3 linked regions of the Xenopus tropicalis genome follow. The main gene of each other region encodes a partner of the protein of the gene in region 3 in a complex. Links are inferred from orthologs where the notes say so. Each region holds a gene or a part of one and is shown on either strand. Other genes may lie near its edges.

Region 1 (5,411 bases), on a different chromosome or scaffold from region 3:
CTCCATTTACTTAAGACAGCAGGTGCCATTATAACTCAGATCACACATTCCGAAAGGAGGGGGGAAGGAGTTCTCAGCATTCTTACGGGAAGGAAGAAGCAGACTCTGGCCACCAGAATCACCAGAGAGGAAGTCAGATACCCCAACAACATGTTTACAAAAAAGGAGACAAGAAATCATGTGTTTCTTTTGATAGAGGACTGTGCAGGGGTTCTGTGACCTTTCTGATAAAGCTTACTTAGTTTTTACCTTTCCTTCTCCTTTAATGTATTTTAAAGGGATTCCTTTATAGGGAAACATGCTGTTTTCAAATGCATCAATTACACATAATTTAAAAACACCCCTATCTGCTTTTGATATCATCAAATGAAAAGCACCATGGCTGATGCAGAAGGTGCAGTGGAGGATTGCCTTTTGAAGAACCATTTGCCTTCCAAGAACAATATCCCAACATTATACAGTGATAAATATATAATACAATGAGATGCACAGTGCACAAACACCCCAAATACATTAAATACAGTAAGAGGCAGAGAACACTTTAGCCCCAGATACATTATACATTGTAAGAGGTAATGGGTCTTGACACCCAAACTGTTTTTCTAAGCACGGGATAATGCATAACAAAGTGAGATGGCAGCGTATTTACAAATTAGTTTGAAAATATAAATAGCTGAATAAATTATTTCTAAGAATACACTGCAAACCAGTATTAAAATATACACCATGAAACCCATGACAGCACCCCTTTAAAGATATCAGTATTATTAGCTTGCTTCCCATTCTTTTTTCTTTTGCTGCTACATTCTTGAAAAAAATAGACATGTCGAAAATAAATGCATCAATTTATATCTAAAAGGCAGCATATTTACGCCAAATGGTTTTATGAGCCAGACACTTATGGAAACTAATAGAATATTTAACACACTCTCAAATTAGATACATACTGCCAGACAATGTCCATGTAATTTGCCAAGTGATTTCCCCTCTACTCTTCACCCTGCCCAACAGGATATTAGCTGATAGTTTCTAGGATTTTCCCTTGTAAATATAAAATTGAACAAAGGCTTAGAATTTCTTTAGAAGCAAGGGAAGGGCCAAATGCACTGAAAGATGACTACTGGCCATTATCCCTCTGAAGGTCTATAAAAGTAAAGGAGAAACAAAACAGCTGGTGTTGGGACAGAAAACAAAGTACAAGTCAGTATCAAGTTAAGGTCAGGCCAAGTGGTAAACTAAATTGTACACTGAAATCCATCATAAAAAATACAACTTAAAGAATATAAACTTTTCATTTATTTAATTTTGTAAAGCACAGTAAATACAAAATACAGTTTTAAGGGAACACATCAACCATTTATTTAACCAATTACAGTATGAATGAACATGTAGTTAGTATTCAAATTCAAAAGAAGAAAAAAAAAAAACCCACACAAAATTAGGGATGTAACAGTCACACTAATACCAGTAATGTAGGAAAATGTCAATTTATTAATGTGAGAAACTTGGCAGATATCCCCGACTATGTTGTCTATACACCAAATAGAATGCAAAACATTGAACAAAATCTACAATAAATGCAAAATGGAATCATGTTTGCACACACAACCACACTTTAGGTATAAAACCACTTGCCATGCCACTGTTGTCTTGTGGTACCAGCAGGACTTTATTCAATTAGCAATATTAGCAATATAGACCCCTTTATAGTGAAAACGTTCTGTTTCTAGTGGAAGAAAGCAAGTTCCTCAATCTATTAACACAAAAAACATGCGTTCTGTATAGTTGTTGTAAATGCCCCTTCAAAGTCCTTAGGCAGATTGTAAATTGGCTCCCTTAAAAACAAGAATTTTCATTACTCCCACTGCTGAAAACTTGCTTGTGGACGGTATCACATAAGGTTCAAAGACATGAGTTAGGGTATTCTTGGCATGAGTACCGGGGAGAGTCCAAGGGAGTGTCTCTTGGTGGGAGTACCGGGGAGAGCCCTAAGAGAGAGTCTTCTGGCATGAGTACCAGGGAGAACTCCTAAGAAAGGATCTCTTGCGGGAGTACAGGAGAATAAGCCTAAGTGAGAGGGTCTCTTGAGAGAAGTAAGAAGTACATGAACCTGCATGTCATACTACTGGATACTCTGTGATCTAGATTGTAAACTCTATGGGGCAGGGACCTCTATCCTCTTGTGTCTTTGACTCTTAAGTTATTGCAACTGTATCTTGTATTTATTGTTATACTGTGTATTTATCTATTATCTTAATAAGCCCCTGTTTGTATTAATGTATTCTACTGTACAGCGCTGCGTACATAAGTAGCACTTTATAAATAAAGAGATACATACATACGTACTCTGTGTGAATACAGTAAACAAGTTCATCTGGTTAATCAGCACTTCCAGTGGTTAATTCCTCAAGGATTGGATCCTCAACTGCCTGGTAAGCAACCACCCTAAGGGGGGCAAGGTCCCGGAAGTTGCAGGGAGTCCATATACAAGGAGGACTGTACAGAGTTTCCCAGGGAGGGGTGTTACAGTTCAACCTGTCCCTACCCTGGATGGAGGCACGGCAAGTATAAAGTATACCTGCTCCCCCCTAGTCAGCGGGGGGCACAGGGCTCCTGTTAACACCACACACAGTAATTGCGTGCAAGAAGTAAAGCCATAGCCAAAAGTGCAATATCAATGTGAGCTTAACTTTTATTTACCAAGGCTCATTTGGCAGTAGGCCATTAGGCAGTAACACAACAGAAGCACCAGTATTTTCATCCATAGCAAACTGGTAGTCTGATTAGGGTTGCAAGGTCTAATTTTCAAAACCAGCCAAAATTACATAGATACATAGTTGCATAGGGTTGAAAAAAGGCCAGAGTCCATCAAGTTCAACCCTTCCAAGAAAACCCAGCACACACAATCTATACTTACCAAACTTAAAAAACTAGCATAAATCTGCCAAAAGCCATTTAAAAAATAGGCCACAAATACTGCAATATGCACAGAGAAAAAAAATATGAAAAATAGAATAGCTCAAAAAGTGTAGCCTAATTTGGTGCAAAGCTTGCCAACCTGACAACCCTGTCTCTGATCGCAAACAACCTTGTACTTTTTGTAAACTTAATCAACAGGAGGAAAGGCATTTTTGCAAAAACTAGAGATTTTTTTTAAAAGAGATACATTACATATTTGCATCGAATGGCCTAATCTGCCCTGACAACTGCATTTATGTGAAGGTGAACAACCCTGCAGCCAGTTGCTACCCTAAGTGGCGCAGTTGTAATAATGAGACAATAAATAACTAATCCACTATTTATATAGAAATGCTTCTCTTGAGCTTAGATGAAAGCCTTGCACTACTGTGAAACAGAGTCTGCCTTATGCCTGAGAGAGCAATAAATGGCGAACTCTTTCTTGCCATATTGTATTAGTTGTCATCATTTCATTTTTCAACGAGTACTATTACTCTGGACGGATAATGTGGCCCAATATTAGAAGAAAAAGAAGTCATTTTTTAAACAAGGGTAATTCAGCACCAGCTCTCCCGTAGTTTGACACATATAACGCAATCTACTGAGGCTGAGATAGTGACCCGCGAATTCTCCCTAACATTTGCGTGAACTTATAACCAAACCATATACCCTAACAGCCTTACCCTTGAGTCTTTTCCGCTCCGCTAGCAACCTCACACTGCTCACTGATACTTCCTGCTTTCCTCGGCTCTTTTCCCTTACGTCATCTATGCGACGGAGAAACAAACTCTGTTCCAAAGACAAACTTCGCACATGCGTTGAAGAAGCAACTGGATCTGTATGTGGAGCAGTAGGGTGTTTTTAGTGGTGTAGTTAGACAAGATACTTGCAAACCCGAATTTCACAGTCATACTGATCTTTGCATGATTTACAGTATTGTAATATAATGCGTGCCAGCTTAAAAATAAAGAATAAATACCTGAAAATGAAATATAGTGTATGTTCTATCCCAGAATAAGCCTACTGATTGTCCTTTAATGTCTTTAATTCACATATTACTGTAAATATAGTAATATATAATATAAATAAAATTCAGACTAATTGTAAACTTATGATTTCTGATTGGATGTACATAAAAAAGTCATGTTGTGATTTTTTTTTTTTTTTTGGCAAACTCTCACCAAATGCGTTTGATAGTTTTGGTGCTTCGTTCACAAATACAACTACTTGTTTGTTTTACTATTTTATAAGTATTTATAATATTCATTGATGGCTTCAATGCAACTGTAAATATTTTAGATACATAGATTCTGAACCGAATCCCAAGTGGCATAAATAAAGGTATTGGGGCTCTGGGGCAAAAACCCCACATATGCAACTTGTCTAATGTTAGCTTTGCACCACAAGCCCCGTAAGTGAGGCAGGCATTGGCAAACCTTCTAGTTGCAGGATATTGCTAATGATATTATTAATGAATCAGATGAAAGTGAGAGCAGGGTTGACTTGGACACAGTTGTCCAGCCTGAACATATTGCAATATATGTACAAACAAACAATTTTAAACAAAAATCCCTGTTTTGTTTAAAGAGGAGGTACATTTTTAGTAACGTTATGCACAAAATGTCTTAATATCCTTAATGTATTGAAATGGATGAAAGCAGGGGATTTTTTTCTATTTCTGTATTAGGGATGCCACCTGTTCGGGTCTCAACTGTCTGTTCGGTTTTCAGCCTTGTGAAACCCGAACAATAATCTGGCCAATAAATGCCAGACAAATATTAAGATAATCACCTAAACATGGCTTAGTTATCATCAAGTACAGTAAATTTCTTATTATTACAAAACAAAAAAACAAGCAAATCGATCAATTCGATTTTTTTTAAACTTAGCATTGCTGTATTTCAAAACTTTCTTTATAACTGATATCTATATGATAGATCCAATTCCAATAATTAAAGGATTGGATTTACTTATCAGGCAGACTATAGATAAAGATACTTTTGCCACCAATGTGGCTTTGTACTGGACATCCTATTTTTTTTCAAAGGGCTGTCCAGTTCAAAACTTTCTCTCCAGTTTAAAACTAAGCTATGAAAACTGGACAGAAATACAATAAATTGCATCAAATGATGCAAAAACCCCACCAGCATCATAAGCCCACTGACATCATTGTGCACACTTCTGATGTCATTGAGCCCAATCCCAACATCACTGCCCCACCCTCAATGTTATCTGCCCTGCCCCCTTTGTTCGGGTTTAGACTCTGGCAAAGGTGGCAACCCTATATGAATTTTGTGGTCACACCTTCATTGAACCTCCACTTAATAACTTAAAATTGTATAGTGAGAACAACTTTCCCTTTTGTTATAGTTTAGAGCTTGTATTTCCCAGATGTGGAACCCCAGAGAAAGCCACGGCGGTAAAGCTCAGGAAGAAACACTTGTGAGTACGAG
Region 2 (5,387 bases), on a different chromosome or scaffold from region 3:
ATTGTCATGGTGTTTCCTGGGTTGATAAGTCATAAATTGCATAAATAATGGAGCAAAAGGTCTCCTTCAACTTAGGCCTTATCATTACTAAAGATAGCTGGGTCATTACAGTCAGGTCGTCTGGTCTACAGCTGAAATTGGATGGTATTTATATCTTCATGCCCAATTCTGTTTTCATTTCAAGGCTTTTTATATTATCTATATAATCTGTTCCCAATTGCTTCAGCCACCTTACACTTTTACTGCCTTCTTTCGTCTCTTTTACCAGTGCACCAGTTGTACCTTAAATGCATTTGCTACAAATAAGCACATTAAATGGGTGTTGAAATTACATTCTGCTTTTAGTCTTAATTCTTTTCTCTAAAAAAATCCATATTTTTCTATTTTTTTTTCTATTTAAAAGTTAGGCTATTTTTGCTGAATATAAACATAGCAATGTGTTCAGAGCTTACTATTTACCTTTTAACAAACAAAACACATTTTTCTCTAAGCATCAGCCATTGAGCAGCTAAATATCAGGGGGTTCTCAGTGGACTGGTAATTAGTTTTATTAGCTCCTTTGAAGTTCTTTGGGACCACAAGTGACAAGAAATACTAAAGTGAAATTGGCTATATATTATTGTTTTGTGCCAGATAATATAGAAAACACAGATATTTCATAATTAAAGCAACAGGCAAAAAGTATGTTCAGCACAAGCCCTATTCATTGAGCTAATGTTGAAAATGGGTGTACTTTCCCTTTGATCAATCCCCCTTACCTGCTTTATAGTACCTACATACTATGCAGCCCTGACCCTGTTATCTTAATTTGTTCTGTTTTCATTCCCACACTTGTTTGACTGTGTCATTTAGAGCAGAACATCCAGCCGCATAGCAAGATTGTATTTCTTATGATGTAATATTTACAGTAATATGGTAGGTGCAGGAAACCAATTAGGTTGTAGGCACAGCAAAATACAGCCATACTGACAGGATTTGCAGCAGCTAAAAGGGACCTGTTGGACTGCAACTTCATTATAAGACCAGAGAGGTGGTGATATGCAGCAGTTTTCATTACTGAGAAAGAATTACGCTGATGACAACGAGTTATGTTTACAAAAACAAAATTCTAAAAATCTTTATTACAAAACATGTAATACCTTGCTTTACACAAGAACAAGGAACACTATCATTAATTAACAAAATCTGATATATATGTAACTTAATCATATATATATGTAGAGCAGATGTCAGACACATGTAACTGAATTTTATCCAGGTCAGCGAGCATCAAACACAACCACTGAAATTGAAAGAATTAAGGAAATATTGAATCAGATAATGGAAAATAAAGTGTAGCACTCATGTACCATAAATAAATTTGCAGTAGATGTTAAATAAATCCATTTTACAATTTAGTGGATTGTTATGTATGGTGTGAAGTTCCCCTTTACAAAGTACTTTTTGGCTTTAAATTTGTTTCCAGCTCTCCCTTAATCTTCCTCTCGTGACTGAATAATGCTTATGGCACATCAACTATTTGTTCTACTGCTGCCATACTCCAAAAAAACACTGGAGGAAAAAACACCCCTGTCCACCATAAAGCTGGCCATACACGCACCGATAATATCGTACAAAACCTTGTTTCATACGATATTTGATGCGTGTTTGGCAAGTCGCCGAGTCGACCGATATCACAGGAGGCTGCTGATATCGGTCGACTCGCCGATCGGCCAGGTTAAAAGATTTTGATCGGGCGCCATAGAAGGCGTCTGAGCAAAATCTGCCATCAGGGCTGAGTCGGCAGAAATCATATTGTTTCTACCTCCTTATCTGCCGTTTCAGCCCTGAACGTTAGTGGCGGTTTCAACAACCTTAACTCTCCTCATATTACGAAATGGAAAGCACCATAGCTAACAGAGCAGAGACACACATTGGGGTCAAACGTTTTGCTTAGATTTTATTTTGCTTATTCTTTTAATAAAATGCATTATTTGATCAAATGCTTTTTCCTTCTTCCATAATTGTTTTGAAAAAATAGTTGCAAAAAGAAAGTTCTTTAATTACACTTTCTGCACAGTTTAGTGGAAATGGTAACAAAAACAATTAATGTTTTTCAAAGGGGAAGTTCACCTTCAATTATGTTTCAGTATGTTTTAGAATTAGCAATTCAGTTGCTAAACTATTCAATTGGTCAACATTTCTTATTTTTATTTTTTTTTAGCTTTTAATTTGATTTGGGGCCACTGTGGGAATCCAAACAACTATTGAGGTTACAATTTTATTTGTATTGCTATTTTTTTTACATCCTTCTATTTAGGCCTCTCCTATTTGTATTAGTATTTCTCATTTACACCACTGCATGGCTGCTAGGGTAATTTGGACCCTAGCAACCTGATATCTGCTGAATTTCCAATCTGGAGACAAATAGCTTAATAATTAAAAACACACACATATAATACAAAGACCAATTGCAAACTGTCTCAGAATATCATAAAATTGAACAACCCCTTTAATGGAAATAAGTTTAATACAAGCCTATTTTACAGGCCATTCTCCGTTCCTACACGCATTCAGTCTGGAGTAAATGTGCAGGTAACCAGAAAAAAAGGATACATCGTTTTGTTCTTTTCTTGTACATTATTCTGTAACCACATTCTCTGCACCTGATTGGATCTCTCGCTTTTATTTCATTTTCCGTGTGACATTCTAAATAAAGATGAGAGAAAATAACATGCAGTTTAAAATCTAAAGAAAATCAATGTTGATAAAGACTAAGATAAATATACAAGTCTTGTAAAAAGACAATGTCTGCAAGGACTGTTGTGAGTTCAAATGGAACAACACAAAAATAAGATGTTTATATTCTGGGTATTGTGAGGGGGTCTTGTCTGGGTGCCTGTATCCAATGTTTCAATCTAGTGGTAGCTCGCTATTGATTCGTAGTTGCACTCTCTTCTCTTAATATTATCCCGACATTTGCAGACACTAGCCAATTAACATTCTCAACATGATCTAAACTAGCACTGCAATCACCAGTATCATTCAGCTCTCCTGAGAATGCTGGAAACTGCAGGGCCTCTTGAAATCATTTTTTTCATCAATAATTGGCTCCCTTTAATTCATGACCAACAATGGCATTTAAAAGCCCACATTTATCCAATTCAGCTCCCTAGTGAATACAGGAGCTCCCATGCCTCCATCTTTCTGCAGTATCCCAATAGTTCCTAGTGACTAGTCCCAAACACAGGAAACAGATGTACAGAACCAAAAGTAATGCATATGCTCAGTGCAAGGGACTTATGGGAAACTAATTAAAATGGCACAGGTTCAACTAGTTTAGAATATATATATTCACTGGAGGGTTTTTTGGGCATATAACTTCTCTTTAGGATATTAGGCACTTTTGGCAAAACTCAGGGTGGGATGCTGGGATTGCAGGTGACCAGGAGCCGAAGTTGTAGGTCCCTGATGTCTTTTGAATCCAATAACTTCCTCTAAAGGCACCCCCGAGTAAAACTGACTGCTTTGAGAGAAAAACCTTACCTCCACAAATGTATATCATCGGCTGCTGCTTAGGAGGAGGTGCGTCCTTCTGGCCTTCCATTTTTTCACCTGAATAACATAAATTGCGGGTATTTTATTCCTGCAGAAAAGTCAATTTGCAGTTACAGCCTTTCTCTCACTCTCCCTACCGTAACGTCACTACATACAATAAATGTGACTACTCGGCCTACAATATATCGGCACAGCACTGCTTTCAACTCAGCATGCACCAAACATCCGAGGCGCACGATTCCTACGACATCAGAAAGCGCTCCTACGCGTGACGTTCGCTGCGTGTGTGCGACGGCCATCTTTAGTGTGGGCAACTATATGTTTCCAAGCTTTATTAGTATGCTAGTATTCTTTCACTATGCAGAAAGGCACCGTTGCTATTCTGCATTATTAAAGTGATTGTATGGTGTCATTTATTTATATAATAGTATGAATTTTCTGATTTTATTATGGATTTCAGGTATGGCGTTTGTTGCTGGGACGCCTGTCTTATATACTATTGTTGCTGTGAAAAATGTACTCTAAACATGCTTTTGTGCCGGAATTTGCTTTTATATGTGCAGACAGTGAATCAAGAAACTATCATACCACTTGGTGCCAAAAACAATGTTTTGTTACTGATCCTTTAGGAAAACTAATGCTATCATTACTACTTATTTTAAATTTATCTAATGCCAACCTTAGATAAAGGCTGACATTATAACAAAGTTTTTTTTTTTAGAAATAACACAATTTCCACTCATCACTTTAATTAGTTGATTGGAATGGCTGAACAAAGGCATCATGGGTATGACTGAAGAAAAGCACCATGGGTACTTATCACATGACCTTTGGAACACATTTGAAAAAAAGTGGGGGGTTTACAGGTTTTCCAGTTTTAGCTCAGTTTCATTGATCCTGAGCAAGAGATAGTCTCCAGGTGACCCTCCAGAGAGGATTCAGGTGAACAGAAATATTTCATTGTGAGGATTTTATTACAGGTTTTATTGGTGGTTTTTGAAATAGTTTAGCAGTTAACTGTCTCCTGGCTGTTGGTTGTTTCAGCCTAATAGTTTGGTTTGGTTTCTGGTTGGAAGCAGGATATTTGTATTAAAACAGATACTGCAAATTCCCTAAATCTTGCTTTTGAAAACCTTGCTTTATGGATCATGCTAAAATGTGTGCACCCCAATACTAAGCATACTTCATAAGCCTCTTGCTTTAAATATAGGCATGTATGGGTTACACCAGTGATCCCCAGCCAGCGGCTCATGAGCAACATGTTGCTCCCCAACCCCTTGGATGTTGCTCTGAGTGGCCTCAAAGCAGGTGCTTATTTTTTTTTGGAGTCAAGTTTTGGAGACCTAAAGTCCATGTGTACTGCCAAATAGAGCCTCCTGTAGTCTGCCAGTCCACAGTGGGCCATCTAATAACCAATCACAGCCTTTATTGGTCACTGCCTAGGAACTTTGTTCATGCTTGTGTTGCTCCCTACATTTTTTTTTATATTTAAATGTTGCTCACAGGTTAAAAAAAGTTTGGGGACCCCTGGATTACACTGTAGGAAATAAAGTGAATTGCAATGTTTCTTTTTATAATGAGGAACTGCTGAGCATGAGTTTAGCAATAATTCAGTGCCAGACTGGGGGGTGTGAGGCCCACTGAAATGATCTAAACCGTGGTATATAAGGTATCACATAGAAATGTTTCCTTTTTCCCACAATTGGTTTTAATTTTGCAAATGCAGGGACAATTTGTTCTATTAAAGGGGTAGTTTTAAGTTTAACTATAACTTTTAGTATAATGTAGATAGTGATAATCTGAGCCAATTTGCACTTGGTCTTCAATTTTTAAAATGTTTAGCAGCTCTA
Region 3 (4,818 bases):
GCTCCAGATGGTCAGGCCTGCAGACCAGGAAGGCGGGCGAGCAGCCATGTACTACACCCAGCACAGGTCTCTGGCAATTCAATCTGATACTAATGCTTAATGCTATGAGGCTTTTTCTACTGATCCTACTTCTCCATTTCTACAGGAAATTAAAATCAATGATGTGGTAAAATTAGGCTTTATTTACCAAAAGACAGCTGGTTTCCTTACTATTGAAAATACACACAATATTTACTTCCCAAGATTCATTAAACATTAACAGATCAATTAATTGTGGCTTCTGGTTTCATTTGCCAGCCAATAGCCCAGTTTGCAGATTATTTTTGCCAAACACATACACTTAAAATCTCTACTTTCATTATATACTCTTGATTTCCAGTACAAAAATCAAGTGGACCCTGTGACCCTGTTAGACAATGTATTAGAGCTAGTTGTCTTTCGGTTAATAGTCAATCAGAATCTGACTCCAACTTCTCCATGTACAGGGCAGAGACAGGTGCTGAGAGGGGAATAGTGAAGAGTAACATGATTATTTCAGAAACAGTGCAGTGTAAATATATATATTATATATATATAGCGCTAATTATATACACAGCCCTGTACGGTAGACTAGATTAATACTCAGAAAGTTTCTTATATCCATGACCTGAAGTTTATATTACTTTTTCATTGTGAAGTTTTATAAAGATAGATTTTTAAAACACAAAAAAGTTTGATCAAAGAAGAATCTAACACCACACCTCTAGCTTAAAATTGTGCTGAGTATGAACACAATAGGGTTGATTTTGTGAAAAAAAAAAAGCAAAACTGCGTGCAGTTGCCAATGGCAACTAATCAGAAATTAGTTTTGATTGGTCTTCTACAAGATAAGAGTAAAAACTGATTGGTGGCTATTGGCAACTGTAATTGTGCAATTTAGCTCCAGTGTGTAATCAGCCATACTGTTTTTTTTTTTCTTGAGGTTGATTGGGATAGAAGTCACGTCAAAAGCTGGACATACATTCAGGAATACCCTTTTGTTATGGAGGGAGGAAGAATGGACCATTGGTCTAAAAGTATTGTACTGTAATAGTACTGCGACTAAAACCTAAATCTAATTTTTTGGAAACTAGATAGTTTTACATTTTATTTTAGTTCCTTTTCCTGTTGCTCAGCTCCAATAAGATTACAATGCACCACAGCCACAGATCAACATACAGTAAGTATGTTAATTTGATTGGTGGATTAAATAGCATTAATCACTGAGGTGCCTAAGATATTTGTCCCTTATTACAATTTCTTGTAGCCAACTGAGTATTTCATCATGGCCAGAACATCAAGGTCTTTACTAATATTATCGTGTGTTATGATCCTATGTAATGGAAACACTTTAATAAATGCCTTTCTCAAGGCACTTCCATAGAAGTGTTGTTGTTGTTGTGTTTTTTTTTTTTAAATAGCAACTTGGCACAGTTCCATCTTCAGCTCTGGAAATGAGACTGGCAGGAAAGTTGTCACGCCAGATGGTGGTACTGGAATATATGCCTATTTTTTCATTTTTCTCCTGATTAAAGACTCTATCATAACAAAATTGTTGTTATCGCCACTCTAGTTGGAGGAAACAATACCATTTTGGCCAGAAAACGCTCCTAGCGAGTGCTATGATGCTCACACCGAGGATAGCCTTGTTTGGTCCCAAGCATACACATAAAAAGCGAGTATCCTGGTTCTCTCATTATGTGTGTGCATGTGGTGTTAGATCGGGGGAGGAGGTTGCCCAATCCTATGCCACAGAGATGTATATAATGAGCGAAGCTGGGACACTTGCGTAAGGTCCCAACGTGGCTTTCCAAACCAGGTCCCTCCCAACGTGGACAGCATAGTGCTTGCCATTTTCAAAATAGAATTTACCCCCACATGGCATAAAGCCTCCATTAGCCCGCACCTCTGGCAGGTGAAACAATTTTGGTATGATAGGTGGCCTTTAACAGGTCAAAAACGCACAGAGCTTTATGTCTGCTTATTTTAATAAATACATTTGATTTTGTTTTTCAGAAAGTGTGCAATTCTTGTGCATTTTATGGAGCTCATTATGGGCCTTCTCTCTACAAATTATACCCACAAGCAAAAATAGGCAACATAAGAAAAACAATATATGGTAAAGGGAAATTTCCTTTAAACTGATACAATGGAATACACTTTTAAGCAATAACCTTTTATGCCAGTTTGGGTCCATGCCCCAAAGAGTGAGAATTAATTTCTAAATATAAGGGAATGTTGGCAAAAATTAGCCTATCAAAGGCAACAAAGAACAAGAACAGACTGCAATGATCCATTACAGTGAGACTGGTTGCTAAATGGCCTTTCAATGCCGTATTGCAGTGCTGTCCAACTTCTACGGTGCCGAGGGCCGGAATTTCTCTAGCATACATGGTGGAGGGCCGCTAATGGAAGCCAGTTTTGACCACTCCCCTTTTTGAAACCACACCCACTTCAAACCACACCTATTTTATCACAATGGTGGTAGCACAGCAAAATCCCAAATGCTTGGTCCTTACTGTGGGGATATCAACCATCATTCATATGTGAAAGAATTATGTCATATTAAGATATACCCTTAAATTCCATATGCCTCCTCCTCCCCTGTGGATAGCAGAGCAACCCCCAGTACATAAATACACACCTTAGGAACCATTTAATGGCTATTTCCAACTGCTAACAAACTCCCACAACAAACCCCTGCCAGGTTCACCTCCCACAAGCAGCATAGGGCAAGCAGAGTATGGCACACACAGGCAGCACTCTGCCTGTCCTATGCTGCCTGTGTGTGCCATACTCTGCCTTCCCTATGCTGCCTCTGTGTGCCATACTCTGCCTGCCCTACCCTGCCTGTGTGTGCCATACTCTGCCTGCCCTACCCTGCCTGTGTGTGCCATACTCTGCCTGCCCTACCCTGCCTGTGTGTGCCATACTCTGCCTGCCCTACCCTGCCTGTGTGTGCCATACTCTGCCTGTCCTACCCTGCCTGTGTGTGCCATACTCTGCCTGCCCTACCCTTCCTGTGTGTGCCATACCCTCCCTTACCTATGCTGCCTGTGTGTGCCATACTCTACCTGCCCTATGCTGGCTGTATGTGCCATACTCTGCCTACAGTACCTATGCCTGAGGTGTGAAGAAGTGAACAATGGGAGTGATTACAGCCTGAAGTGTGAACACTGCAGGGGGTGAACAATGCAGGTATTAAAAGGTGTGAAAAACACAGTGGATTACATTTTTAAACAATACAGAGGGATTACAGCCTGAATCTGAGGTGAGAACCATGCAGGTTCAAAGGTAAGCCATCAAAGCAGCCAGACAGGTGGGGGCCACACAGAGGGGGGTCGCGGGCCGCCAGTTGGACAGCACTGCCGTATTGTGTATGGATATTCATCAACTGCATAGCATAAATGTTTTGCCAACATGTGCAGTTGCTATTTGCCATAGATACTGTTGGGAGACTGGCATTACAAAGTATTATGCAAAAACTAGAGCTTTCTGGAAGAAAATGAAATGAAAACTGCATTGATTTGTAAATTACCTTAGAGATTACCCCATGGAGCTGCAACATGTTAGATCAGTTTTGTTGCCTCAAAGAAAAATCTAAAACTTGGCAGTTACAATAGGAAAAATCCTCTTTACCGGGTTTATTGACACTTCTGATGGAATACACAACAAGCCCTCTAAACAAACTTAAATGAGAATTTTTTTTTAATAAACTTACATTGTACTGATGGTTTGACACTGGTCTGTAGTTTGTCGTTACTGCCTTTTCTATCTGTTGTGATTGCCTCTTTGGTTTGGAAGATTCTTCAATCTGTTTTCTAAATAGACACAAAAATAATGAAATCAATTAGTACCGGATAATCAGAACATTTAATTCAATAAGCCATTGATGTTTGAGGGGAGATACATCACAGTAAATCGTAATCAGGATAGGCCTAATTGATTGGAGACAAGCCATTAAAAGGGGCCGAGGAGCTGAACTAATTGTTTGACAGTTATGAAAATGTACGATTCACAGTTGCATCGATAGAACTTTGTATAATTTACAAGACACATTTTGTTCCTTAGTTAGATGTTAAAAAATACTTTGCTTTGACTTAGTGAAAAGAAATGCTTAAAAGTGGGCATTCATTACATATACTGTATTCCTGCACATTATGCCAGATATCCGGTTTTAAACCAGACATCCTAATTTTTGAAGGGACTGTCCAAACCATTTGTTGGTTTATTAACATTTTAAATAGTAAAATTAACTATTTGTAATGTACACAGTGTCATTTAGTAATAAAAAATCCACCATAAAAATCATGACAGAAAACCTTTAAACAAACCTGGCCTGATCACTGTCCTCATCTTTTAGTTCTTTATTATATTTATCCCATGCTGATGTAGCTCAATGTCCAAAGTATGTATAAAGCACTATATTTTATTAGTTCTTTGGGTGATAACATAGTCTGTCAGCCTTTGGCAAATACATTTAAGGGTGCATATAAGTCTAAATAGCTTTCAAATGCATTCTGTTCCTTCACACTGTTGCATGGTGTCTGCCTTTTGGAAATTAATTACATATATATTATTTCTTTAGTGTTTTACAGAACTTTCACATTTTTGATATAAGACGAGCCACACCATTCTCCAGAGAACAGGCATAAAACACTGCAAGTTCTTCAGAGTAATGTGTTCCTGCTGCATTTGGCACAGGTTCTTAATATAACACTTGTGCAGCCGTTTCATCAGAGTTGTTTTCAGTACAACTGCTAGTGCTGGTTGGGAAAACAAGAGAACAATCTGCTATTT

What was found. The genes of interacting proteins can lie anywhere in the genome.
Region 1: gtf2f2 (region 3) and gtf2h5 share a complex: the UniProt entries of both Homo sapiens proteins name them as parts of the TBP-based Pol II pre-initiation complex. The link is inferred for Xenopus tropicalis from reciprocal best matches to the Homo sapiens genes GTF2F2 and GTF2H5.
Region 2: gtf2f2 (region 3) and polr2k share a complex: the UniProt entries of both Homo sapiens proteins name them as parts of the TBP-based Pol II pre-initiation complex. The link is inferred for Xenopus tropicalis from reciprocal best matches to the Homo sapiens genes GTF2F2 and POLR2K.

Annotation. Positions count from the first base shown.
Region 1 is NC_030681.2:52,597,243-52,602,653, reverse strand, and holds the start of gtf2h5 (general transcription factor IIH subunit 5), read right to left. Parts: upstream 3,701-5,411; 5' UTR 3,642-3,700; intron 1,050-3,641; exon of another isoform or gene 948-1,049; intron 1-947. UniProt on the Homo sapiens protein: Component of the general transcription and DNA repair factor IIH (TFIIH) core complex, which is involved in general and transcription-coupled nucleotide excision repair (NER) of damaged DNA and, when complexed to CAK, in RNA transcription by RNA polymerase II.
Region 2 is NC_030682.2:128,131,114-128,136,500, reverse strand, and holds polr2k (DNA-directed RNA polymerases I, II, and III subunit RPABC4), read right to left. Parts: upstream 3,701-5,387; 5' UTR 3,587-3,700; coding exon 3,526-3,586; intron 2,689-3,525; coding exon 2,596-2,688; intron 1,283-2,595; coding exon 1,260-1,282; 3' UTR 1,089-1,259; downstream 1-1,088. UniProt on the Homo sapiens protein: DNA-dependent RNA polymerase catalyzes the transcription of DNA into RNA using the four ribonucleoside triphosphates as substrates.
Region 3 is NC_030678.2:133,900,510-133,905,327, reverse strand, and holds part of gtf2f2 (general transcription factor IIF subunit 2), read right to left. Parts: intron 3,840-4,818; coding exon 3,740-3,839; intron 1-3,739. UniProt on the Homo sapiens protein: TFIIF is a general transcription initiation factor that binds to RNA polymerase II and helps to recruit it to the initiation complex in collaboration with TFIIB.